Arabidopsis thaliana: one gene and its partners. The protein of the gene in region 4 interacts with the protein of the main gene of each other region in a pairwise test. Each region holds a gene or a part of one and is shown on either strand. Other genes may lie near its edges. The genes, in order: DWF1, RK1, LUT1 and NRT1.9.

Region 1 (5,014 bases), on a different chromosome or scaffold from region 4:
TGTCAACAATAGAGAAAAGACAGAAAATCTTGAGAAGGGAAATAATAATCTTCAATTGTTTTTGAAAAGAATGAATTGGGTATCGAGACTTCACAGTTACATTCCAGTCAGAGCTAATGTAACTAAAGGAATTTGAGCTAGGAATTTGGTCGAACACCTTCTATGCACCATTTTATGTAGATAAAGGACAGACCTTTCCACTTCCAATTAACAGAGCCGCAAACATCATGACGGAGACGAAATCGAAAAACAAGCAAGTAACTTCGAATACAAAAGATACAACAAGAATTAATAAATCGAAATTACTTACCACTAACAAGTGCTTCAACAACGCTTTAGACGATCGACTCTGTAAAACTTCTTTCAGAAACAGAGCTCTTCTTACTCGGAAATGGCTGCTTGGGTTTATCCTAAAAAGTCTCACCCGGTCAACTTCGGTTCAAATACCGGTATTTCCAGGTTTATATCAAACCTAACCGCACCCCAATAAAACTAACAAAGTCGGGTTTTAGTGTTTTAGATTCACGTCGTGAATGATCTAAAGCCTAGTTGGTGGTGGTATAAAGAGAGAAGTTGAAATGATCTCTCAAATTGGTAGATCAATTAATTCATTACAGCAACATGCTTACATTGTGACAGTCAAGCAACACGATAAAACCGGAAACCTTCAATTTCATAGGCAAATCCAAAAGTTTTAAACTCTAAAATCCACTCAAACCAGAATGAGTCAAACAACAACAAGAAGCAAACAACAACAACAAGAGTCTTCAAGACACTAAAACTGAAATTAGGAAACAACAACATAACAGACACTACTAGGAATAACAATAATCATCCCGAGCCATTACATCAAACCAAGGCTTATTATTACTTAATCTGCCTCGGCATAAGCAGTTTCGAGATGAGCTTGTTCGGCTTCTCTAACTTCTTTCTCAGTCTTCCTTCCTTTCTTGGACTTGTAGTAAACACTCATGAACGTTCCAATAGCTCTATACTTCTTGCGGCACTCCTCATACAATTCACCATTAAACATTCTCCAGAAGCTCTTCTCGTCGAGCTCAGACACCGCGTACTGAGGCTGGAATCCATGGTTCTCTATCAGCCATTTCTCCATCCTACGCACTGCTTCTGATCCATCAAACTCTTCACCTCTTAGGACACAGCCAGGTGCGTAGTAGACTCCAACATCAGTGTACATCTGTGCATCTTCTGTGTCTCCTTGTCTGTTTTCGTACTCGAAGCCTGGCTCTGGGTAGATTTGGCCTTTGATTGGCTGCTTGAAGAGTTTGTGTGGGCAAAGCCAAATTGGATACACCTGAAAGAGAACAAACAATTCATGATTTTGTTAATAACATCAAAAGAAACTTTAACTAGAAGATGATCAATCATGAAACCGAGCTTTTAGTTTTACCTCCATTTCGCGGTGGACCCATTCGAGTGCATCGCCAACCTTGTAAAGAGGAACAAGCATATCCTGAATAACATGCATATCATGGTAATAGTTCCTGATAGCTTCACCTTGAGTGGCCTTAAGAAGAGAGACCTTTGGAGGCATCAACCAACCTAAGAGGTACCTAAACCAGAACTGATCACCAAATGGAAGAATAAGCTTCCCTTCCCAGTACAAGCACCTTGTGTGCCTGTGGTAGTATTCACGAGTTGGGATGTACTCAACAAACTGTCCCTTTTTCAGGGCGGTCTGCGCGTGCTGGTAGAACCACGGCTTGAACCACCATCCCACATTGTTGATTTTGTTCCCTTTCTTCTTTGCCTCTTCTTTAGATGCATATGTTCCAACCATCATCACTCCTTCCGTTGGATTGTAAACCATGCCTTCGACGAAATCCGGGATTTTCGACTTGTCACCGTCTTTGGGAGCAAAAGAATCAATGTAACCTTGAGCTAAGGCTTGAAGATCACCCTTGACTGGTATGTAAGTGAGTCTCATGTACTCCTTGACTTTAATAAGCCTGATCTCAGCAGCTACAAGGAGTCCAAGAGTTCCTTGCGACCACGGGATTGCGTAGTAAAGATCAGAATACTCATTATCCCTTGTGGCGCGGACAAGCTCTCCACCCGCAAGAACAATCTCGTAAGCCTCAACGGTATCAGCAAACAAACCGTAGATGTGAGAGCTTCCTTCAATACCATATCCATTGATAAGTCCACCAACGGTAAGGTCATCAAGCTCAGCAACAACAGCGAGAGACAGGTTCATTGGGACGGTAGCACGGGAAATCTGTCCCATGTTAACAAGAGGCTCCACTCTAGCAGTCATCTTCTCCTTGTTGATCTCAAGGATGTTACGGAACTCCCCCAAGTCAACCTCGAAATGCCGGGCTCTCTTGTAGTCAACGTTCCTCATTCCAACAGCGATCCAGGGCTTACGAGCAGTGCAGACAAGCCCGTCCTTGGAAGCATCCCTACCCTTAAGCCTTTTGATGACTTTCTTGACATTCTCGTCGTGTTCCTTCTGACGTTTCTCAAAGGACTTGGACTCTGACCACATGTCCCCGAGGTAGATGAGGAAGTAGAATGTGGCTGAGAATGGAAGGACGATGAAGATGACAATGATCCATCTGAACTTGACAAAGTAATCAACCCAAGTCTTCTTCCTCTTGGGCCTCACAAGCGGTGTCTGAAGATCCGACATTTCCTCTCCTCACTGCATCAAACCAAAAAGAAAATCAAATCAACCAGAGTTTCAAAATCCATCACTGTAAAAGTCAACAAGGCCTAAGAAGTGAGCATAAATCTACCAGAATGTCAAAAATACTAAAGATTAGTTTCTTGAATCCAAAAAGAGTATAATAAGCACACATAAACACATACGTATACACACATGTGTATCAGTGTATGTGTATGAAATAAATCTGTAAGAAGAAGATAGTGTGGAGTCCATGGAAACAGAGAGCTAGTGAACAGAGAGACAAAAAGACATGAAGTTATGTTCTGAAAGAACAAGAACACAGAAAATGGTTATAATCTTTAGATCTACACATCTAGTATTCCTACAAAGCCATCAAAGTCTGTTTTCTACCACCAAAATAAATAAATAAAAGTTGGTGAGCAAAGTTTGAAACTTTGTTTGAAATTCTCCAAGACTGAGATGATTAAAATTAAAAAACCCACATAGTTCACTAGTGCGTGCTATGAAACAACTATGAACCAAGTACTGAGAGATCTAACGACAGGAAATGATAAGTCAGCGACTGAGACAGAGAGAGAAAGAGAGGTAGAGAGAGTACCTGAAGAATCCAAAGGAGAGAGAGAGTGAGAGGATGAGATGTGAAAGTGTCCCCAAGAGTGTGAGAGCATTTGTCTTTATAATAAAACGTGATTCAAGCCAGCCTGCTTCACTTGCATTTTTCGCTCAAAACAAGGTATTTTTTATTTCCCATTTTTTTATATAATTTTAAAATAAAAAAGGTAATAATAACGCAAAAATATAGAAATTAAGAAATATATAATGTATATTTTTCATGGGTTTGTATAAGTGGTTTTTCATATTTCTAAGTTTCTTTGTTGTTATCGCAATTAAAAATTCGATGTTAGTTGTAATGTTGATAAATCACATGTGTTATATTTATGAGCAATTTTTTAGTTTATAATTCTGATGTAAGAAAATAAAAATAAATTGTTTTTACTTATATCAGTATTTAATATATTTTTACCAACTCTTTTAACATTTAGAAATTATATGTAAATCGAACCTAGAGCTTAATTAGACATATCTTCCAAAATATAATTTCTTACTTAGCAGTTAGCATATAAAAGGAATATGAGGACAAATTCTTTGTAGGGATATTTTTTCTGAAAAGAGTTTACTGCTATAAATAGGTAAAAGCAAATAAATAAAAAAAGGCAACAAATCTTAGCAGTTTAAATTTCTTTTAAATAGAAAAATATATCTTTCTTTTGGTATGTAAATCACAATAAATTACAGGAAGACATGTGCCCAATGAAGGAAATGTAATTGTCCAATTCGTTTTTTTTTTAAATGCATTTTATGGGTTGATTGTATTGATTTTTGTTTTCTAAATGCTTTTAGCGAAACAGTCCTCCTACATGTTTGTTGATGTACCTAAAGCACATTCCATCCTCGTGAGGTTACTAAGCCGACGATCTTATATATTGTTTATTGGCAAAAAGTTCATTACAACTTTTCTTATCATAATAGTTATTACAACAATCTTTAACATTTAGTTTTGATATGTTATGATTGAAGCAAAAAAAGCACTGCCTAAAATATCTTGAAAACATTATACATTATGAATGCTAATGAGAGTTCCTTATATCTTTCTCTCAACTCTTAAGGGATCTTCAAATGAGTGTTTTTTTTAAGCCAAAACAATTGTGAATTAGTCATTCACTTTCATCTTATTCAGATTACAATGTAGTATTTTAGAAACTAATGTGTAGTAAAAAATTTTATATAAAATGCCTCTTATTTATATAAAAAAAAAAACTACGGCTGTGATGAGAAATGTTTTCCCAAATCCCAATAGCCATGCTTTTCATCAAAATTCATATATGAAATCATTTGTATCATTATCAGTGCCTACATAATACAGTAATAAACACACAAACTATCACGTTATTTGGTGAAAAAGGCTCTCAATATATAATTCTGTTACTGTAACCAATTATTTGATTTCCACCTAAGTATTTTAATAGTTGATTTAGAAAAGCAAATAAAATCATGATTTATTTAGAAAAATGGTTACACTTTAAAGTAATGAAGTGCTCAAAAAGTTTTTTTTGTCGCCAAAAAGTAATTATTTATTTATTTGACATAGAAAGAAAAAAAAAATTACAGGGATGATGGCCTGTCTGAGAAAATATCCAGCTCTTGCAAAATCTCTCATAAAATATATTTACTCTTTAAAATATGCCAACTAATTTCTTACTCACATTTACAGCTACAAATCATTTTTTTGTAGTATGGAAAAATAAATGTCTATTTGGCGAATCACACCTTTTGACATTGACAGTTTGACGTCAGTGAAAATTT
Region 2 (6,174 bases), about 18 Mb from region 4:
TTTACACGATTTCTCTCTATTGTTGATAATATTTCATTTTCAGCTACATTTTCTTGGTCTTCTTGTTCGCTTTTGAAATATCTATAGACTATGTCACTATAGAATTGAGTCAATGACCTTAAAAGTCGTTAAATTGATAATTATGGTTTTGTAATTTCCTAGTAACTGACTTTTCTTCGTTTACTCCAAAAAAATAATATCCTCAACCATTTGTGTGTGTGTGTACGAGAATAGACAAAATTTCAATGTTGCTGGCGACATACTAAATGTTATATGCAAGAGAATGCTTCACCGATGAATTCATAAAAGTTTAAGGTATATATTCGATTTGTTTCATAAAGTCCTCTGTTGTAATAGCCATAAAGTCCTATGTTCGCTTCCAGTATTGGTCTATTATCAGTAGTATGTACAAAAAGTGAATATTAATCATTACTGAATTCCCACTTAATTGAGTTTCGGTCTCAAACTTCAAATCTTGGAGTGACAACTCCAAATCTTGCATTTTTTTGTCTTTGTCTAAATGTTTTTTTTTTATAATTCTCGCTCTAAATCAAAATCATGTGAAACATGTGGTGAATCTTTTGTCTAAATTAAATTAGATAGAGCAAGATATCGAATCATATATGTAGTAATAAAATCTATTTAGACTTACCTATAAAATGATATGCATGTAAACAGATTGGGCCGTAAGTTACAAATTACCGAGCGTCAATGACCGAGAGAGTGATTTGGTTCACTGTACATTCATCGTCGCGCTGTGTACTTGAAGAAGAATCAGCCTCAAGAGGACTTCTACCAATGCAAAATCCAGGACGTTTAGGCTGAGGAATAGCGGTAGTTTCGCTTCCAAGCATCACCATTACCGAGGACATCACTGGTCTGTCTTCGGCTCGTTCTTGAACACACAAGAGACCAATTTGTATACATCTTAAGATTTCATGTGTCGGGAACTTTGATGACAAAGAATCGATGTTGATCGGATCTACAATCTCTAGCTCGTTTCCTTCCTTCCAATGCCTCCACACCTGTGCATAAAGGATGTAATATTTCTTTAGTGTTATAATCAGATTATGAATGCAAAACAATATCGAATTGAAGAGGTTTTTAGCTTACAAAACCGAGGAGATTAAGATCACGGTTTGAGTTGTAGAATCCTTTGTTTCTTTTTCCACTTATAATCTCTAGAAGCAAGACCCCAAAGCTGAAAACATCCGACTTCATCGAGAATATCCCGTCCATTGCATATTCTGGAGACATGTAGCCGCTGCATAACAAAATATAAACTCATATGTTATGAGGTTTTTAAGAAAATATTTGGACTTGAGATAAAAGCTCTTTTTTTGTTTTGTTGAAGAATGATTGCTTACTAAGTTCCGACCACCCTCCTTGTATTAGCCTCTGTCTCCTCCCGTCCAAAGATCCTCGCCATACCGAAATCCGAGATCTTTGGAGTCATATTTTTATCAAGCAATACGTTACTTGCTTTCAAGTCTCTATGGATAATCCTACACCGTGAATCTTGGTGAAGATATAGAAGTCCTCTAGCAATACCATTGATAATATCAAATCTCTTTTGCCAATTTAAGTTAGAGCTTCGTGTTTGGTCTACACATCCAACACAACCAACAACAAGTTAACGTTTTCACAAAAATGTTCAATTATTAGAACAGAAGCTGTTTGAGTCACTAACCAAAGAGATGCGAGTCAAGGCTTAAATTCTCCAAGTACTCATAGATCAACATCTTCTCACCCTTATCGACGCAACAACCTAGAAGCCGGACAAGGTTTATGTGCTGAAGCTTTGCAATTAATCTAACCTCGTTCATGAACTCATCGGTCCCTTGTGAGGACATTTTCGATAGTCTCTTTACCGCAATTTCTTTTCCGTCAAGTAATCTTCCCTATTACCACACATGTGATTATACAATGAAACCATGTGCTGTGGTAGATTTTCAATATGTTTTGAATCACTTTTACCTTGTAAACAATTCCGAATCCACCTTGTCCAAGCTTGTTGTCGTTAGAAAAATTGTTTGTTGCCGTGGCAAGAGCTTCCAACTCCAACAATGGAAGCTCTAGGTACTCACTTTTTTTTTCTTTGGATGTGTAACCCCTCCTAGATACTACCACATCGTTGATTAGCGAGTCTTGGCTTCTCACTTGATCAACTGTTTCATTCAGGCGTTAAAAAAAAAAAAAACAATCAAGACATTTGATTATCAAAATTTATTGACAAAAATAAAGGAAATGAAAGCTAATGATTTATTTTACCATTAGGTGTTTGAATTGTTATTGATCGCTTCTGCTTCCTTTTCCAAAAATGGAAGATGACAAAACTTAAAAGAAGCAAAATGCTCACTCCAATACTCGAACCTATAATTTTTTCATTTTTGATTCTCTTGTCCTCTGCAATAAAAACGAGGCATATATTTACTTCTATACGAAAAATATCCTTTGTTGTACGTTTGATTAAAAAAAATTAATACGAAAAATAAACAAAATAATTAATTTAACTTAAACAAAAATTCTTTTTGGTATAATGGTATTGGATCTAGCTAAACTCTTATTAATCTTTTGATCTCTAATTAAAAACAGATGACAAAAAAAAAAAACTAAACAAATTGACCAAACATCAAGAATGTACTTTGTTGACCAAAGCCTCTATAGATTAGGGAGTTTGAACTTTGCTTCGAGAGGGACAATATTACATGACTTGGTCCGCAGATTGGGAAGATATATTGACTTTGGGTCATAACTTTTTAATCAAAACAAAAAGTAAGAACCACTTTAGTAAATGCAAATAAGAAAGAAACTAACCGAGTTCAGCAGCGGCTAGTCTAACGTAAAGATCCTGACCTCCCTTAGCATAATTTCGCATATCCAAAATCTCTCTGGTCCAAATCACACAACCAGACCCGCCATTGCGAATATCCGCATTAGCGAACGCAGTGCAATTACAATCTTCTAGACACCTTTCTTTACATACTTTCAACCCAATTTCTCTGTCCACAATTGTCGCCGTGGTATCTGGCAATTTCATCCTCTTCAACCGGGTAAAACCATCTCTACCGTCACAGCTCAGCCTCGTCTTCCTCATGCAACCAGCGGAGCCATCTCTCAAGTCCCACGCTTGCTCATTCACTGGCTTAAACCCTTTGATACAATAACAATTTGGTAAACTGTTCGAGTCGCAATAACCGAAATTCCCGCACACTTTGTAGTTATCGCATAGGTCCTTCGGTGAGTACCATAGTTGCTTCCAACTCTGTGTTGTCTCAAACCAAGTCAATCGTTGTAATAAACCCGCAGAGTTTAAGTATAATCTCGAGTATAAGTTTGTTTTGTTGATTCGGTATGAGTAAGTCACTTCCTCCTTACTTGCTGTGAAATTGTAAACCATGTAATCAACTTGAATTGTCCCTGGTACGCTGCTAAAACGCATTCCATTCCATGGACCGCTGCGGTATAGTATCGACTCCTTGCTGCATATGTAAAACTCAGGGAACTCGCTGGTTTCGAGTTTTGTCGAAAACTCACCGCTTGATGGATCATCTGTTGTTTTCCAGGATCTCAAGATCCTGTTGAATCCGGTTTTCTGATCCCATCCCAATTTCATCTCCGCAAGTAAAGTATCTGTCGGAAAATCGAAACTCTGCCATAGAAGTCTGTTATTGGAGTCTCTGAGCAAGAAATTACCGTTATCAAGAAGCTCTGCAGCCACTGGTGATCTCACATCTCCTCCGGTTATATTCGTCGACCAAACAGGCCTATCGGACTGATCGAAAATGACGAGGTTATTGCCGGATATTTTGAGAGTTCCGTTGGAGCTAGAGAGAGGATTGTCTCTGTTTGCAACCCATACGTAGGTTCTTATAGGGATTATCTTGTACCATATGCCGAGATACCAACGCGAACTTGATGCGGGATTGAAGAAACCGAGCTCGAAGATTTGACTAGGAGATATAATGGTTTTGTTGCTTGAGATAGTGAGAGATTCTGTGGCTGAAAGAGTGTTTGGAGAAACAGAGAAAGCAAGAAACAGAATTAAAATGAGGAAAATGAAGAAAGAATGGTGGTAGTTTGGTACACTTCTCATCTCTCTCTAGGACAGTTTCTCGTGTTCTGTTTTCTTTCTTCTTGAGGGAATTTTATGAGAATTTGAGAATTTTTATCTTCGGAGATTCATATTATTGTTGATGTGTGCCGTTATTTACACGATTACTCTGTATATTACATTGTTGATGATATTTCATTTTCGGCTGTCTTTTCTTGGTTTTCTTGGTTTTCTTGGTCTTCTTGTTCGCATTTGAAATATCTATAGACTCTGTCACTATAGAGTTGACCTAGCAAATGACAAGAAAATAACTCGTTAGATAGACATTTACTTATCAGTGTTTTTGTAATTTTCTTAGTAACTGACCTTTCTTCGTTTACGCAAAAAAGAAACAAATCTCGTCAACACTCCTTATTTGTGTGTGTGTGTGGCCAGGCCTATGCGTGTCTCAGAGAGATATAAAACTAATTTGTGTTTTTCTCGTTATAAATAATCTTTTTTTTTTGGTTTTCTTTCCTTTCCTACGAATATCAATTCATGAAAGAAATTAACTTACACCACCAAGCTTCAACTATTTCATTCGCTAGACAAGTAAATCATTAACCTTAGACTACAAAATGACATTTGTTTGGCAGAGCTTCGTATTCGTAGTGCTGTGTGTACTGGCCATCGCATCATGACCGGTTCAATTCTATCATGGGTTCTAGAACAAAATTGTTTTTTGGCTGCCCTTATAAATTTCTTTTAAAGATTTTACATTATTTAAAAAAAATTGTATGACAGTTCTAATAAAATTTAGTTATTAAAAACAAAAGCAATACACAAAATATTTATGGGCCCTTCTGTTTTATTATTTATAAAATTTAGTTATAAAATTTATTATTTATTACAAATAATGAGACTTGTTACATAAACGATTTTACAACGTACAATTCCTTTAAAGTCACCAAAATATTGTCAATAAATATTAGGTGCAATCATAGGTTGTTGTTATTCTTGATTTGTTTTGTATGATTCTTACTTGTTCAGATCGTATAAACTCATCAATACCACTTGAAGGAGTTATCAATATTTTATTTCCATGCTTTATATTTTTAGAACTTTATCTTTTTATTTTTGCATAGAATTGAGCCATCTCATAACATTTGCTCTTAATTGATGCACTCTCTCTTTAAATGAATCAAGAAATTGTTAACTGCTATATTACCTTCAACATTTTTTTCTAATTCATATATAATTTTGTATTATTGTGTAAAATTTTGTCTTTATAATATTATTTGACATAGATTTTATTTTATGAAAATTTTGTCAATACAAATAATTATTATTAATGTTGAAGACTATGCAAATGCAAAAAAAAATAGAAATAGATTTTAGAATATACTAAATTCTATTGCTTTCTTCTTCTCTAGCTTCTCTCTAAAACATCCACGAACACATCCTCTTTTTTTAAATTAACATTATTGTCATAGCCTTATAGGACTATCTAGTCATGTTTAGCTTATGGCGTAGATAGGCTAGATTGCGAAAGCGTGTAAACCGGTTAAATACGAAACGTAATTACTTTACATAGTAGACCCGTAAGTAAACAAATAACTCAAGAAAGCCCCAAAATTTTACCATTTTAGTTAATTACTTCTTCTCCTCCTTTCCCTCCAAATCCTTACTCATCCATGTCCTTCTAAAAGAAACCTCTGTTCCTGTCTCCCAAAACCAAACCCTTCTTCGTCTCGAAGTAATCAAACTCTGACAACAACAACTCGAATTCAAAGTAAGCGGCTAAAATTTCATTGCATCATCTTCAAATTTCGTTGCCACACGCTCTAATGTTCAAGCCAACGTTAGAATTTAGGGTTTTTCATTGCGAATCTCAAAATCCTAAGACGTTGTTTACCAAAAAGAACAAAGAAGAAAAAACCTTACTTTACCTTTCAATGATCAATGGTTCTCGTAAAAATAGTTCCTTTTGCTTCTCTGTTATAGCCAAAAGTGTAAAGTTCGTACCTTTGAGGGTTCACTTGTTTAATGGGTTTTGTTGCGTTAATCTTTCAGAGTACGAAATCGAGTTTGGTAACTTTAATATAAATGCCGAGAATGCGTATTGAAGGAAGAGATTTAGT
Region 3 (7,347 bases), on a different chromosome or scaffold from region 4:
GCGATATGTTTTGGTGTACCAATGATCACATGGCCGTTGTTCGCTGAACAATTTCTCAATGAGAAACTCATCGTGGAGGTTTTGAACATCGGGGTTAGGGTTGGGGTGGAGATTCCGGTGAGATGGGGAGACGAGGAGAGACTTGGAGTGTTGGTCAAGAAACCGAGTGTTGTGAAAGCTATAAAGCTTTTGATGGACCAAGATTGTCAACGTGTAGACGAAAATGATGATGATAATGAATTCGTGAGACGAAGGAGACGTATTCAAGAACTTGCAGTAATGGCGAAAAAGGCTGTGGAAGAAAAGGGATCTTCGAGTATTAACGTTTCAATTTTAATCCAAGATGTTTTGGAGCAATTGAGTCTCGTGTAGAAAAATCGAATGTAGAAGTTGACATAAGATTTATAAGAATAACACCAAACGATTTTTCTTTTTGCCAAAGAAGAAAAATTCATATAGATATAATGTGCATAATATGTATACTTTCGAACTCTTCTCTTAGCCTAATGAGTGATTTAGAAATACTCTTGAAATCATCACTTAAAGAGTCTTTTTTCCTTTTTCTCGAAAGATGAAACTTATATATATGGAAAATGCCTTTTAAGGATGCACTTAGAATATAGACTTTAGATTATTACATCTTGATGAAAATATTAATGTCTTCACTAGATATCTCAACTCAATTAACAAAGAGGTCTTTTGATTCATTATTTTGAAGCTTTTAGAAATATGAGAAGAAAAATGCTTGAATATTACTTCTGAAACTCTAAGATGGTGTAGAAGTAATCAATGTAGAAAGGTCGAAAAGTAGGGAATCCCGCGGAGAGACCAAGCTCTATAAACTCTTCTTCGGTTCTATGCTTACCTTTGGTTCTATAGATGGTCATGACAAAGATGTCACCTTCTAACAAGGCACGAGTCCGGTGACTTTCATCGGTTTCCTTAGGCAAGACCGGCTCACACGCAATCAGCTTTCCTCCAACTGGTAACGCGTTGTAGCAATTCTTCATTATCTGCTTGCATTCTTCATCCGTCCATGTCGTTAACACCCACTTTACACTCAAACAACAATATTACAAGATATTAATTTGGGACCAGAGAAGCAAAAAATGTGTGTATTTGTTTGTGTTGTTCTTTCAACAAACATGAGATCCCTATCCATGGTCTAACAGATCACAAGTTTTTGGTTTGAGAAATGTATAATCAATATTTAAATGATCATAAATAAATGAAAGTGACCAGTCGCATGATCTAACGATAACTAAGACTATATACTACCAAACATATTGTCCGAAGCGACTTATAAATTTATACCTATATCACTAAACATTAAAACTATATACAGAAACTAGAATTCGTCCTATTAGCAAAAATGTTAGTAGGTGTATTCTCGTGACAGACAATAATGTTACAACAAACCTTCATGAAGATAGCGTCAGCGCTAGGAACTGATTGGAACATATCCCCACCCACGTGAGTCACTCCTAAACCATACAATATATCATCCATTATTACTCCGTACATTACTAAAAATAGCTTTTTACTTTCAGAAAATAACGTACGTACAATATATCATAAATACAAAATCTCACCAGGAATATTGGGGGCTTTGGCAACAACTTCAGGTAAATCGAAATTAATCCCTTCACGGACGTTAGGAAATTGTTGAAGGATCATACGCAGACAATCCCCTGCACTACCTCCTACGTCAACCAAAATATCCACTGATTTAAACCCATCGTAGCCGTCTAATATAGCTTTCATGAACGGTACAGATACGCCAGACATTGCCTTTTGCATTAGACCATTCATCTCCTCACTTTTCCCATACTGAGCGTATGCCGCCTCGCCGTTTGCTTTCACGTACGGCTCTGTCTCCGGCTCCACCACTGCCGTGTGAACTAGTGGCCATGCTCGCATCAACGCCTCCTGTAATATATATCATTTTCACAACAAGTTTTAGACATTAGTTTATTATACCATCATTAGTCCTTTAATATATCACTCCAATTTTGGAAAATGAAAATGAGTCATAAACCTGGTGATGTTGGAGGACGTAGGCAGCGTAAGAGAGGCCGCCGGAGTCGGTTACAAGAGTTTTTCCGACGTCCGTAAGAGAGTATTTCCTCTCAATGGATCCAACAAGGTGTTCGGAGAAGACACCGTAGCTGGTGAGCATCCGAAGTATACGCTGAAGATTCTCGGGGTCGCCACCAATGGTAGTGTGAGATGGTAGGTGGAGGCGAGGGAGGATCTCGGCGGCAGAGAGAGGAGAATTGGCTCCGCCGTTCCAAATGGCGTCGGCAATGCCTAGTCGCACGGCGGCATTGAGAGACATGGGAACGCTAATCATGTTAGCAAGCTCCATAATGGCAAGACGAGCTCTGTTTCTACTCTCTGAGCTTTCGTTCTCCATTTTTTTTAATCTTCCTCGTACGTGAAAGTGAAACTACACATCGCTATAGAACCCACTAGTATTGGTTTTATATGGTTTTATATGGTTTTTAAGGTTAATGTTACGTGTGGTCCATATGGAATGGGATGGTTTTAGACCTTAGTCTATTATTTAGAAATTCAAAAAAAAATAAAATTTTGATTTTCGTAATTACTGAAAAATGGAGAACAAACACAAGCTGTATGAAAGTTTGATTTGAAATGATAACACAATTACCAAACTTTAATGGTACTAGCATCTCACTGTTCAAAATTCACATTTCCGATGGTACAACTATTTTCCATAATTCATTTTTTTGTGGTTATTTCTCAAGAGTACTATGAAACAAGTCCATTCACACCAATCAATTATCATGAAAACATAAATTCTGGTTTTTACCTTTGGCTCACCTTCATATACAATCCCTGAAATTGAAAATATCAGCATTAGAGAAATTGGAATCATTCTAAACAAAACAGACACTCTCATTAATCTCTCGAGTGTGAGAACATTGGCATACATTGGTGGTGTGTATGGTTGCTCCTGTGGTCATGCTAATGGTCTGATCAGGAACCAGCTCAACGTTTAACCGCTGAAGAAACACCGCGAGTGCCACAATTGCCTCCATCAATGCAAACTGATCGCCTACACATTTTCTAGGCCCTCCACTGAATGGGATGAATCTGGTGAAAAAAGAAAATCATCTTTTAAATTCCCTAATCAAAACCACTAATCTTGATTCAGTAGTTTGTGTCAAAAGATGTGTTCTACTGAGTTTACTTGAAATCAGTGTTTGTTTCGTTAGGGATTGCGCCATCTATGTCGAATCGTTCAGGCAGAAATTCCTCAGCTTTTTCCCATACCTTTGGAATAACAAACAACAAACACATAAGAAATGTGGGCATGAATGTAATACTAGGAATGTCCACTCCGGTTAGATATCCGAACCACACAAAGATCATTGAAGAGAAGGATTAGGCTCCCCTATGTTATACTATGGACGAGAGAAGGAAGAGAACTGTACCTCGGAAGAACGATGGATGTTATAGACTGAAATCATAATGTCTTGTCCGGTATTGACCTTATAGTTCCCAGGAAGAATGTCAGGAACTTGAGCTCTTCTTATCAAGACCTACCAGGAAACAAATCAATCAGAAAATTTAGTTCATGAATAATTAGAGAGATGAGCTTGATTGCTTACAGGAGGATGAGGATAGAGACGCATTGACTCGTTTATACAACGAGTGATGTACTTCAACTCCTTTATATCCTCGAAAGCCGGGTTTCTTCCTTCTAACACTCTGTCTACTTCTTCTTGTGCTTTCCTTAATGCAGATGAGTTCTATGAACATAGAGAATTTGAAGAGGTAAATGAGAACAGAGAAGCTCCCATCCAAGTAAATTCTCTAGCATAGCAAAGTAGAAGATACATTAAGGTACCTTACTTAGGAGATAAAGTGTCCAAGTGAGGACAGATCCAGTGGTTTCATGACCCGCTACGAGCATTGAGAGAAGATCATCCCGTAACTGCACACTTGATACCTGAAAACCCTCACAATGCAACATCAGCTTCGATTATGCGATAATGAAAGGCCAAATTTGCTTATAAACTTAAGGAAAAAAGTTTAAACCTCTTCTCTGCTTGCAAGCAAGAAACGCAGGATACTTGGGTCAGCATCATTTACATACTCCTCATCATTGATTCTTTCGCCTTCTCTTTCGACAATTTCTTTACACTTAGCAATAAGGTCTTCAACAGTTTCCCTTATCAAAGTTACAGCCTTTTCAGCTTTCACCTGTCTCGGGACTATCTTACACAATGCATCGATCTGAAAAAAACAACCAAACCCTCTCAATTAACAAGAATCCAATTGTTCCACACAATCAACAAACCACAGAAAAAACACAGGAAACTTGCCTTCCAATATGGCAGAAGATCAGTAGAACGAAGCTCAGCTTCTTTAAGAGCAGTGTAAACAGCTTCAATGACAGGACTATCAGTAGTCAAAGAATCGAAATTGTAGTTAAAAAGAGACAACCCAATGACATCAAGTGTCATCTGAGAGAACTTCGCTTCCATATTCACAGCACTTCCGTCTTCTGCATAAGGCTGCAACTTCTCAACAAGCCTCTCTGCACATTTGCAGAATACTCTCTCCACAATCACAGACAAATACCTCCTGTGAAGCGATGGAACCACCGCTCTACGCCTCGCCTATGTAAAAAATCAGACTTCAGCTAAGCCCAATAGAGAAGATTGGAATCTAAACCCTAAAATTAGAGTTACTTATCATACAAGACAGTCACACATTACTTCCACAATTCCAAAAACTTCAAAATTGAGATAGGAGGAGATGAAATTACTGTCCAAAGAGGTCCTTCAGCGATAGCGAAACCCGAACCAAATAGAAATTCAGAGACTTCAGCGACTAAGCCTTTAGCGTACTTTGGATAATTCCTCAAAACATGTTTAGCTATCGCTGGGTCGCTCACAATTACGAAATTACGAGGACCAGCAGCGAGACGGTAAATGGGTCCGTACTCATTCATCCATTTGTAGAGAGGTAAGAAGAGAGCACCTCCGAGGAGATCAGCGACATCGTCGAGCTTCGCGTTCGCGATTGGTATACCTGACTCGTCGTTTTTTCCTGAGGAAAGGGTACGAGTGAGTGTTGTGAGCCAATCGGGACTGACCCATGATTGGGATTTCGATGAATTGGTCTCGAGTTTGGGTTTGGGTTTCTCAATGGAGGATCTGATGGAGAATGTGAATTTGGGTTTTGGTGATAAAAGACGCGTAGGTTTTGCAGTGAAGAGAGAAGAGTAAGAAGAGGAAGATGGAGAAAAGAGTGAAGACTCCATTGATGACCTCTTTTCGAAGCTTCCGTGCAGAAATATTTGACTCTGTGTAGAAACGCGAACCGTTACGCGTGGATAAGGACGACGATGCATAAAACGACTACGTTTTGTTAATCAAAACTTAATATGGGCCTCCTCGTATTTGGGCCTTTTAAAAGCAAGTAGCAAAATCTGAAACGAAACAGAGAAGATCGAATTTTCTTTGAAACTCTGTAAACTCTGTTTCTGTAAAGTTGTTAAATTTTGTCGATCTGGTAGGAAGAAGAAGTACAAGAGAACAAGAAAAAGTCAATTCCTTTCGTTAGTCGGCGAATTCTAGAAACGATGTTCAATTTCTGGTATGATTTTGCGAATTTTTTGCCATCTGATTCATATGTTATTGATGAAATTGCGTGATCCAGACATTAGGTCTGTTAGCGATTAAGGAAATCTTGTTGTTGTGTAGTTTGTTGAGCTATAATGATATATTTGAGGTTTTTGAGGTGAATTGACAAGTGTAGATTTTGCTCAGCTACTGATTTAGGGTTCATAGTTACTGATATTAGGTTTACAATGATGTGCTGTATAAATGCACCTTTCAAGTTTATGAGGTGATGTATTATATTAACTTGGAAGCTGAGATAGTTAGTTGATGATGTTTCTTTTTTTTGTTGTGTACGTGAAGGGGATCAAAAGACCAACAACAAGGGCAATCTCGTCCTCAGGAAGCTTCTTCACAGTCGCCATGGTACTCGCCTTCTTTAGTTAGCTCGCCAAGCTCATCCCGGCCTCAAAGTTCAGGTCAGATTTCAGCACAAGTATCACCGGGTGAAGCAGCTGGCATTATCGTCTTCTTGAAAGACAAAAGGTTTGCTCTTTTTGTTTGTTTGTTTGTTATCCTTCTCTCGAGTGTGCGTTTTTTTTGTATGTCTTCTTTTTGAATAGTGTATACTTTTCTGTAGCGTGGATGAACTCAGGAAGCTTCTCTCTGACAAAGATGCGTATCAGCAATTTCTGCTCTCTCTTGACCAGGTCAAAGTCCAGAATAATGTAAGTCTCTAAAACAGTCAGTTGTTTCTGGATAGCTAAGAGTATTACTATTAATTGTAGTCCTAAGAATGGAGCTTCGTTAGTTATGTGTTGATATTATTCATTGGTGCTCTTTCAAGTATATACATTGATATTGTTTGAGGAAGCCTTTATCATGGCGTCATCTTCTACATGTTGCCAGTAATTAGAGCTTTCTGGTTCTTTGTTATAGTCTCTAAAACAGTCGGTTGTTTCTGGATAACCGAGGGTCTTATCTGTAGCTCTAAGAATATGTAGCTTCTTTAGTTCTGTGTTGATATAATTCATTAGTGCTCTTTCAAGTCTATACATTGATATTGTTTGATAAAGCCTGTATCATGTCATCAGCTTTCTGGTTCCTTGTTATAGTCTCTGGACGTTAATTTTTTCGTGATTTGTTTCTGTCCGTCAGATCAAAGATGAGCTCCGTAGAGAAACATTGCAGCTAGCTAGTAAGTACTCTATGGTTCATGTAATTCTACAGGAAACTTTAGTTCAATCCAGAAATCTAGAACTTTCCATTTGATCAAATGTAACAGGAGACAACTTGGAGAAGGAGCCACAGATAATGGAGCTCAGAAACCAAGTGTGTATCAAGAACCAACTTTTCTTGTTCAGTTTTACCATGTTATACCTTTTCGATATCTCTGATTTACCAGTCTTTACTTATTTTACAGTGCAGAATTATCCGTACAACTGAGCTCGCAACTGCGCAAGAAAAGCTTAATGAGCTTGAGAGGCAAAAAGAAGAGATCCTCAAATTCTACTCCCCTGGTTCTCTTCTTCATAAACTTCAAGGTAACAATTTACCATTGCAATGGATTCTCCCCTCGTCTCATTTTCTCTACTGTTCTAAACACCTTTTACTTGTTTTGCAGAGGCTATGAATCAGGTGGATGAAGAATCCGAAGCCCTGCAAGAAAAGTTCCTAGAGAAGGAGATTGATACAGCAGCATTTGTGCAGAAATACAAGAAGCTTCGTACTACCTATCATCGACGAGCATTGA
Region 4 (4,872 bases):
GAAGATAGAGAATGATGAACTTTTCAAACTAGCTTTTATGTTTTTCGACAAAGATGGAAGTACATACATTGAACTTGATGAGCTACGGGAAGCTTTAGCGGATGAGTTAGGCGAGCCAGACGCCAGTGTTCTAAGCGACATCATGCGTGAAGTTGACACTGACAAGGTTCTTTCAAATATCCAAAAAAATCCTCCTTTAAGGCCTAACAATAAAGCTTGTCAAGAGAAAAGATATATCCCTCTGCTTCTGAGTCGGATTGTTGGGCTTGTTTGCTTTTTACAGGACGGACGTATAAACTATGATGAGTTTGTGACGATGATGAAAGCTGGAACTGACTGGAGAAAGGCATCGAGACAATATTCAAGAGAGAGGTTCAAAAGCTTAAGCATTAACTTGATGAAAGATGGGTCATTGCATCTCCATGACGCTCTCACTGGACAAACTGTTCCTGTTTAAATTTATTCGTTATCACCAAAAACAGAGCAATGCTCCGTTTTTTCCCCATTTCATAAATTGGGAATTTTCCGGGCTTGTTCTTTGAGGGATGGGAATTTTACGGAAGCTATGGTTCTTTACATATATAAACATTTTACATTGTATTTTGTATGTAATGTTTTGTTCAAAGGTTGTATTTTTATTGTCTCAAAGCCCCTAAACCAAAGAGTCAAAGGAAAGATCTTTATTACACTGACACCTTATCAAACTCAGCAGAAGTCTTGTCCATGTCCTTGTCCTTGGCCACAACATCTTTGTAACGGTACCAATGTGAGACCAACAAGAAATAGGCCAAGTTTAGAGTCATCATACCAGCAACCAAGAAGTAGAAATACTCCAATCTTCCCTTGTTTAAATCTTCCGGAAGCCAACTTCCTCCTGAAAATCCCTCTGTGGTATCGTGTACCGCCGATAACAAAAAGGTGCTGAGGTAACTCGCCAATCCGATTCCACAATAATACAGAGAACCAGCAAAACTTCGCATGTTCTCTGGAAACTGTTTGTAGTAAAACTCCATTTGTCCAACTCCAGCGAGGGCGTCCGCGATACCCATTAGCACTAGCTGAGGAATCAACCACATACCGGACATCGAAGAGATTGCGCCTTTTCTTGGGGCCAACCCTAGCGTCGGTTTTGTGAGAGCTACCTTTCTTCTGTATTGTTCTACAATTGCAGACACCATCATACTTGTGATGCATAGAAACAGTCCTGCTCCAACTCTCTGCAGTTGTGTGATACCGCCGTCTCTGCCTGTATACTTTCTAAGGAAAGGTACAAGGACGCGGTCATAGATAGGTATGAATATCGTCATTCCAAGCATTAGGAAGACGGTATAAGAACCGGCCGGGATCTGGAAACTTCCTGGACCAAGGCGTCTATCGGATTGAAGAGACTGAAAGATTGTGTAGGTTGTTTGTTGAATGTAAGCTAGGTAGAATAAGGCGGCCGAGAGCCAAACCGGAAGCACCCGGATCACGCATTTAACTTCCTCCACTTGTTGCATACTGCAGAGTTTCCATGCATCCACCGGCGACCCATCTTTGTTCAGCTTGTCGTCTTGTGTTTGGATTGCCGATTTGTCAAGAAACCTGCAAATTAAGAAAACCCTAAAATGTTTCTAAGTTGTTCCACAAGAAACTAAGAGAAGTAGTGAGGTTATTAGTACCTGAACTGCTCTGTATGGCCCAATTTCGAGTTCTTGAAATCACTGGCGATGTAGTTGTAAAGCTCGTTAGGCCCAACGGGCTTTAACCGCCTCTTCTTGATCGCGACAACAATGACACGAGTTATGCTGTGAATGGGACTGCCACTAGCTTTAACCTTGACATAGAGCTTAGAACCAGCGAAGAATATGATGCAACCAAGTAGCATTAGAATAGCTGGGATGGCTAAACCAATGCTCCAGCTCACGTTTGACTGAACATAGACGATGAGGGTTAACGACACCATCTGAGCAAACGTGAAGGTGAAGAAATACCAATTGAAGAAACTCTCAATCCCTCGTTTCCCTTCTTTTGTCTTCGGATCGAACTGATCAGCACCAAATGGAAGATTGCATGGCCTAATCCCACCGGCTCCGATCACCAGCAAAACCATTGCTCCGGCGAGAAACATGATTTGTCCGATGGATGGCCCATTGCACACGCTTCCTATTTCCTTAGCGCATTGAGCTGGATGCAGGGGATGAATCACAGCCGTTAGATCCATTGCCACCGAACCCTTTGCATCAAACACAACAAACGATTGAAACTTTCAGACATAATCAGCTAGTTTTTTTTCAAACTGAAAATTGTGATGAATAGGTTTTAGAATTTACGAGAAAGCAAGCGATCATGGCGAAAGATAGGGTCTTGTAGCGGCCAAAGTAGGAGTCACAGAGGAAAGCAGCGACGATGGTGCCAAAGTTGCTTGTGCCACCGTAGATGTTGACGACTTTCGCAGCCGTGATGCTCTTCATGTTGAAAACCGTCGTTAAGTATATAACCAGATTCGATGAACTTCCAACAATCCCCAATTTTTCAAATGTCTCATTTCCTACCAAATTAAGAAACAGAGCATTAAGTTACTCTGTTCATAAAATCCTCTGTTTTCTCTATCAGTTTCTTGTTCGTTTCAAGACCAAAAATGTTATAATAAATAAAAATAAAAAACATGAAAGAAACAGATCCATAAAAAAAGTCCTATGTTTTAATTTTATGAATCAAATGTTTTTTTTGTCAATGAATCAAATGTTTCATAAATAATAATAAAAACATACTAAAAGAGCACGAAATTAATAAATATTCTTATATTTTTGTTTATTTATTTCTAATAAATATTTTTATTTATTTACAAGTATAAAGTCCTCATGTTTTTCCATCAGTTTTTTGTTCGTTTCAAGATTATGAGTGTAAGTAAACAAAAATCATAATTTTGAAACGAACAAGAAACTGATGAAAAAAACATGATGACTTTATACTTGTAAGCAAACAAAAGTATTTATCAAAAAAAAAAAATATATATATATATATATAAGAAAGAATATGGATGAATAAATACCAATGATGAAGGGCATGACTTTCCATCCTCTGTAGATGATCTTAGACTCATCATCCTCTGCAATGTTCTTCTCTGTCTTCTCAACCTCCATTGTTATGTTTTTCTCTATGCTCTGCTCTGCTTTCTCTAAGTGTGTGTAATGTGTTAGTATATGTGTGTGTGTATATATATATTAGTGGGAAGTGAGAAGGATCTCATTATGAGACCAAAAAAGCTATTTGGAGATTATACCAAAACAAAAGTGTTGGATTAGAATATAGATTTGAGTAAAAAGAGTCGGCTTTATCGAAAGGAGAGGACTGGAGTTGGTATTCCTCACTTCATTGTTTTGATTTGTCAACTAACACACTAACGTTCGGATAACTTATTAGTTTATTTGTTGCCATGACTTATGTAATATTCTTAACTCGTTATTTAAACATTAAGTAGCAGTCAAGAGTTCATCTTTAATATCTGTAATATCGACAACGAATCTATCCTTTTACTTTTCATCTAGTAGGTATTCTTAAACAATATGAAAAAATGATAAAAGAAGAAGAAGAAAGCTAAGAAGAGTTGTTTAAGAATCATATATTGTGCCAATACGAACATATTTCTGTAATGTTGACAATTGGCTTTTTAGTTGAATGCAATAAACTTTCAAAAATGCAAAAGGAATCTTCTCGCTACCGTTACTTTTTTTCTTCTCAAAACTTTAATTATGTAAAAGAAACATTTAAGCATGCAAAAGAGAAATAAGGAGACGACCATTGCATTCAAAAATCATGTTGATTCGTTTTGATAAATATGACCCTCAAGAGGGGTAAATTGTATTATTGGCGGTCAACTAATATCCATATTCTTTTTTATTTTACCGATTATAGTTCATGTACATTTCTAGGTTTTTTAAAATATATCTATATAAGTAATGAATGAATGAATTAGACATTTATTTCGAAATTTTCTATACTATCAAAAATAGAAACCCACCGAATTACGATTTAATTTGGAGAACAAGAGTATATGTTAACTAAAAGTCTTATCTAAAAAAGATGTACATTTGCTTCTTCTTTTTCAAGTGATGGGTAAAAGAATATTTATATTAATTTCATAATAAATAGAAAGTTGTCTTTGAAATTATTGCTACAGAAATAAAGCATTTCAATTTTATAGTGAGATATGATTGTGAGAACAATTAGAAGAGAATATGAGTGATGGAGAAGACAGTTTTGATTATCAAGGGAACAAAAAAGTATCTTTTCCTAAATGATATAACCCAAAAAAATCAAATCCCTTTTGATTGGATTAGTCCAAAAGAAACCACCCATCACTTTTCTGAAACCCCATTAGCACACTATCGGTAATCTAATTACGTTCGTTCGTTAATAAGTAGTAATAAAGATTTGTTTTTGGAGCCTTAATTATTATGTTTTGTTATTGTCACATAATATTCCTAAATAATTTGTCATTTTTTCGTGAAGGTGGAAATATACGTCAGCTTTGGATCACAACGTGCGTAAGTGTTTCATTTGATGGACCTCATAGAGTCATAGTCGCTTCAAAGGCTTCTAGTCTGGTCAGAAATTGGACAACAAGTAGCTAAAAGAAGATTTAAAGTGTACCATGCAGCATCATCATTAGTGTTGCTTCTATTTACAATATACACACCAATGACCAAACACACAAATGATACAAACCAATTTAGTTATTAAACAATCTCAATTCCCGCCTTTCTTTAGTTGATTGGTTGCAAAGCTGACTCATGTTCAAGTGACTTAGTGAACTGCAGAAAACACATATCAATCTGATTTGAGATTTCATAAAAGACATGGAAATTGCAGTGAGAGTGTTTAACAACA

The links.
Region 1: the proteins of NRT1.9 (region 4) and DWF1 interact in a protein complementation assay, tested with the Arabidopsis thaliana proteins (one large-scale study listed by BioGRID).
Region 2: the proteins of NRT1.9 (region 4) and RK1 interact in a protein complementation assay, tested with the Arabidopsis thaliana proteins (one large-scale study listed by BioGRID).
Region 3: the proteins of NRT1.9 (region 4) and LUT1 interact in a protein complementation assay, tested with the Arabidopsis thaliana proteins (one large-scale study listed by BioGRID).

Annotation. Positions count from the first base shown.
Region 1 is NC_003074.8:6,878,964-6,883,977, forward strand, and holds DWF1 (cell elongation protein / DWARF1 / DIMINUTO (DIM)), read right to left. Parts: upstream 3,353-5,014; 5' UTR 3,249-3,352; exon of another isoform or gene 2,666-3,248; 5' UTR 2,654-2,665; coding exon 1,412-2,653; intron 1,316-1,411; coding exon 872-1,315; 3' UTR 561-871; downstream 1-560. UniProt on the Arabidopsis thaliana protein: Plays a critical role in the general process of plant cell elongation. Involved in the synthesis of campesterol, an early precursor of brassinolide.
Region 2 is NC_003070.9:24,466,854-24,473,027, reverse strand, and holds RK1 (receptor kinase 1), read right to left. Parts: upstream 4,247-6,174; 5' UTR 4,097-4,246; coding exon 2,818-4,096; intron 2,407-2,817; coding exon 2,272-2,406; intron 2,169-2,271; coding exon 1,978-2,168; intron 1,902-1,977; coding exon 1,691-1,901; coding exon of another isoform or gene 1,686-1,690; exon of another isoform or gene 1,606-1,685; coding exon 1,368-1,605; intron 1,265-1,367; coding exon 1,114-1,264; intron 1,026-1,113; coding exon 699-1,025; 3' UTR 556-698; downstream 1-555. Other genes in the region: AT1G65780 (P-loop containing nucleoside triphosphate hydrolases superfamily protein), read left to right, coding at 6,140-6,174. UniProt on the Arabidopsis thaliana protein: Involved in the regulation of cellular expansion and differentiation. Mediates subcellular relocalization of PUB9 from nucleus to plasma membrane in a protein-phosphorylation-dependent manner.
Region 3 is NC_003074.8:19,690,761-19,698,107, reverse strand, and holds LUT1 (Cytochrome P450 superfamily protein), read right to left. Parts: upstream 5,352-7,347; 5' UTR 5,297-5,351; coding exon 4,799-5,296; intron 4,650-4,798; coding exon 4,353-4,649; intron 4,264-4,352; coding exon 4,066-4,263; intron 3,977-4,065; coding exon 3,875-3,976; intron 3,777-3,874; coding exon 3,636-3,776; intron 3,567-3,635; coding exon 3,459-3,566; intron 3,298-3,458; coding exon 3,215-3,297; intron 3,118-3,214; coding exon 2,955-3,117; intron 2,860-2,954; coding exon 2,830-2,859; 3' UTR 2,417-2,829; coding exon of another isoform or gene 2,039-2,416; intron 1,930-2,038; coding exon of another isoform or gene 1,593-1,929; intron 1,485-1,592; coding exon of another isoform or gene 1,420-1,484; intron 1,053-1,419; coding exon of another isoform or gene 753-1,052; 3' UTR 566-752; downstream 1-565. Other genes in the region: UGT73D1 (UDP-glucosyl transferase 73D1), read left to right, coding at 1-372; AT3G53140 (O-methyltransferase family protein), read right to left, coding at 753-1,052, 1,420-1,484, 1,593-1,929, 2,039-2,416; VPS37-1 (Modifier of rudimentary (Mod(r)) protein), read left to right, coding at 5,618-5,631, 5,958-6,140, 6,235-6,322, 6,753-6,792, 6,880-6,926, 7,018-7,138, 7,219-7,347. UniProt on the Arabidopsis thaliana protein: Heme-containing cytochrome P450 involved in the biosynthesis of xanthophylls. Specific for epsilon- and beta-ring hydroxylation of alpha-carotene. Has only a low activity toward the beta-rings of beta-carotene.
Region 4 is NC_003070.9:6,519,053-6,523,924, reverse strand, and holds NRT1.9 (Major facilitator superfamily protein), read right to left. Parts: upstream 3,205-4,872; 5' UTR 3,126-3,204; coding exon 3,035-3,125; intron 2,985-3,034; exon of another isoform or gene 2,801-2,984; intron 2,531-2,800; coding exon 2,313-2,530; intron 2,216-2,312; coding exon 1,662-2,215; intron 1,585-1,661; coding exon 684-1,584; 3' UTR 557-683; downstream 1-556. Other genes in the region: CDPK1 (calcium-dependent protein kinase 1), read left to right, coding at 1-166, 284-457; AT1G18871 (uncharacterized protein), read left to right, coding at 4,440-4,616; ICS2 (isochorismate synthase 2), read right to left, coding at 4,749-4,796. UniProt on the Arabidopsis thaliana protein: Low-affinity nitrate transporter facilitating nitrate loading into root phloem. Not involved in dipeptides transport, but has a weak glucosinolate transport activity.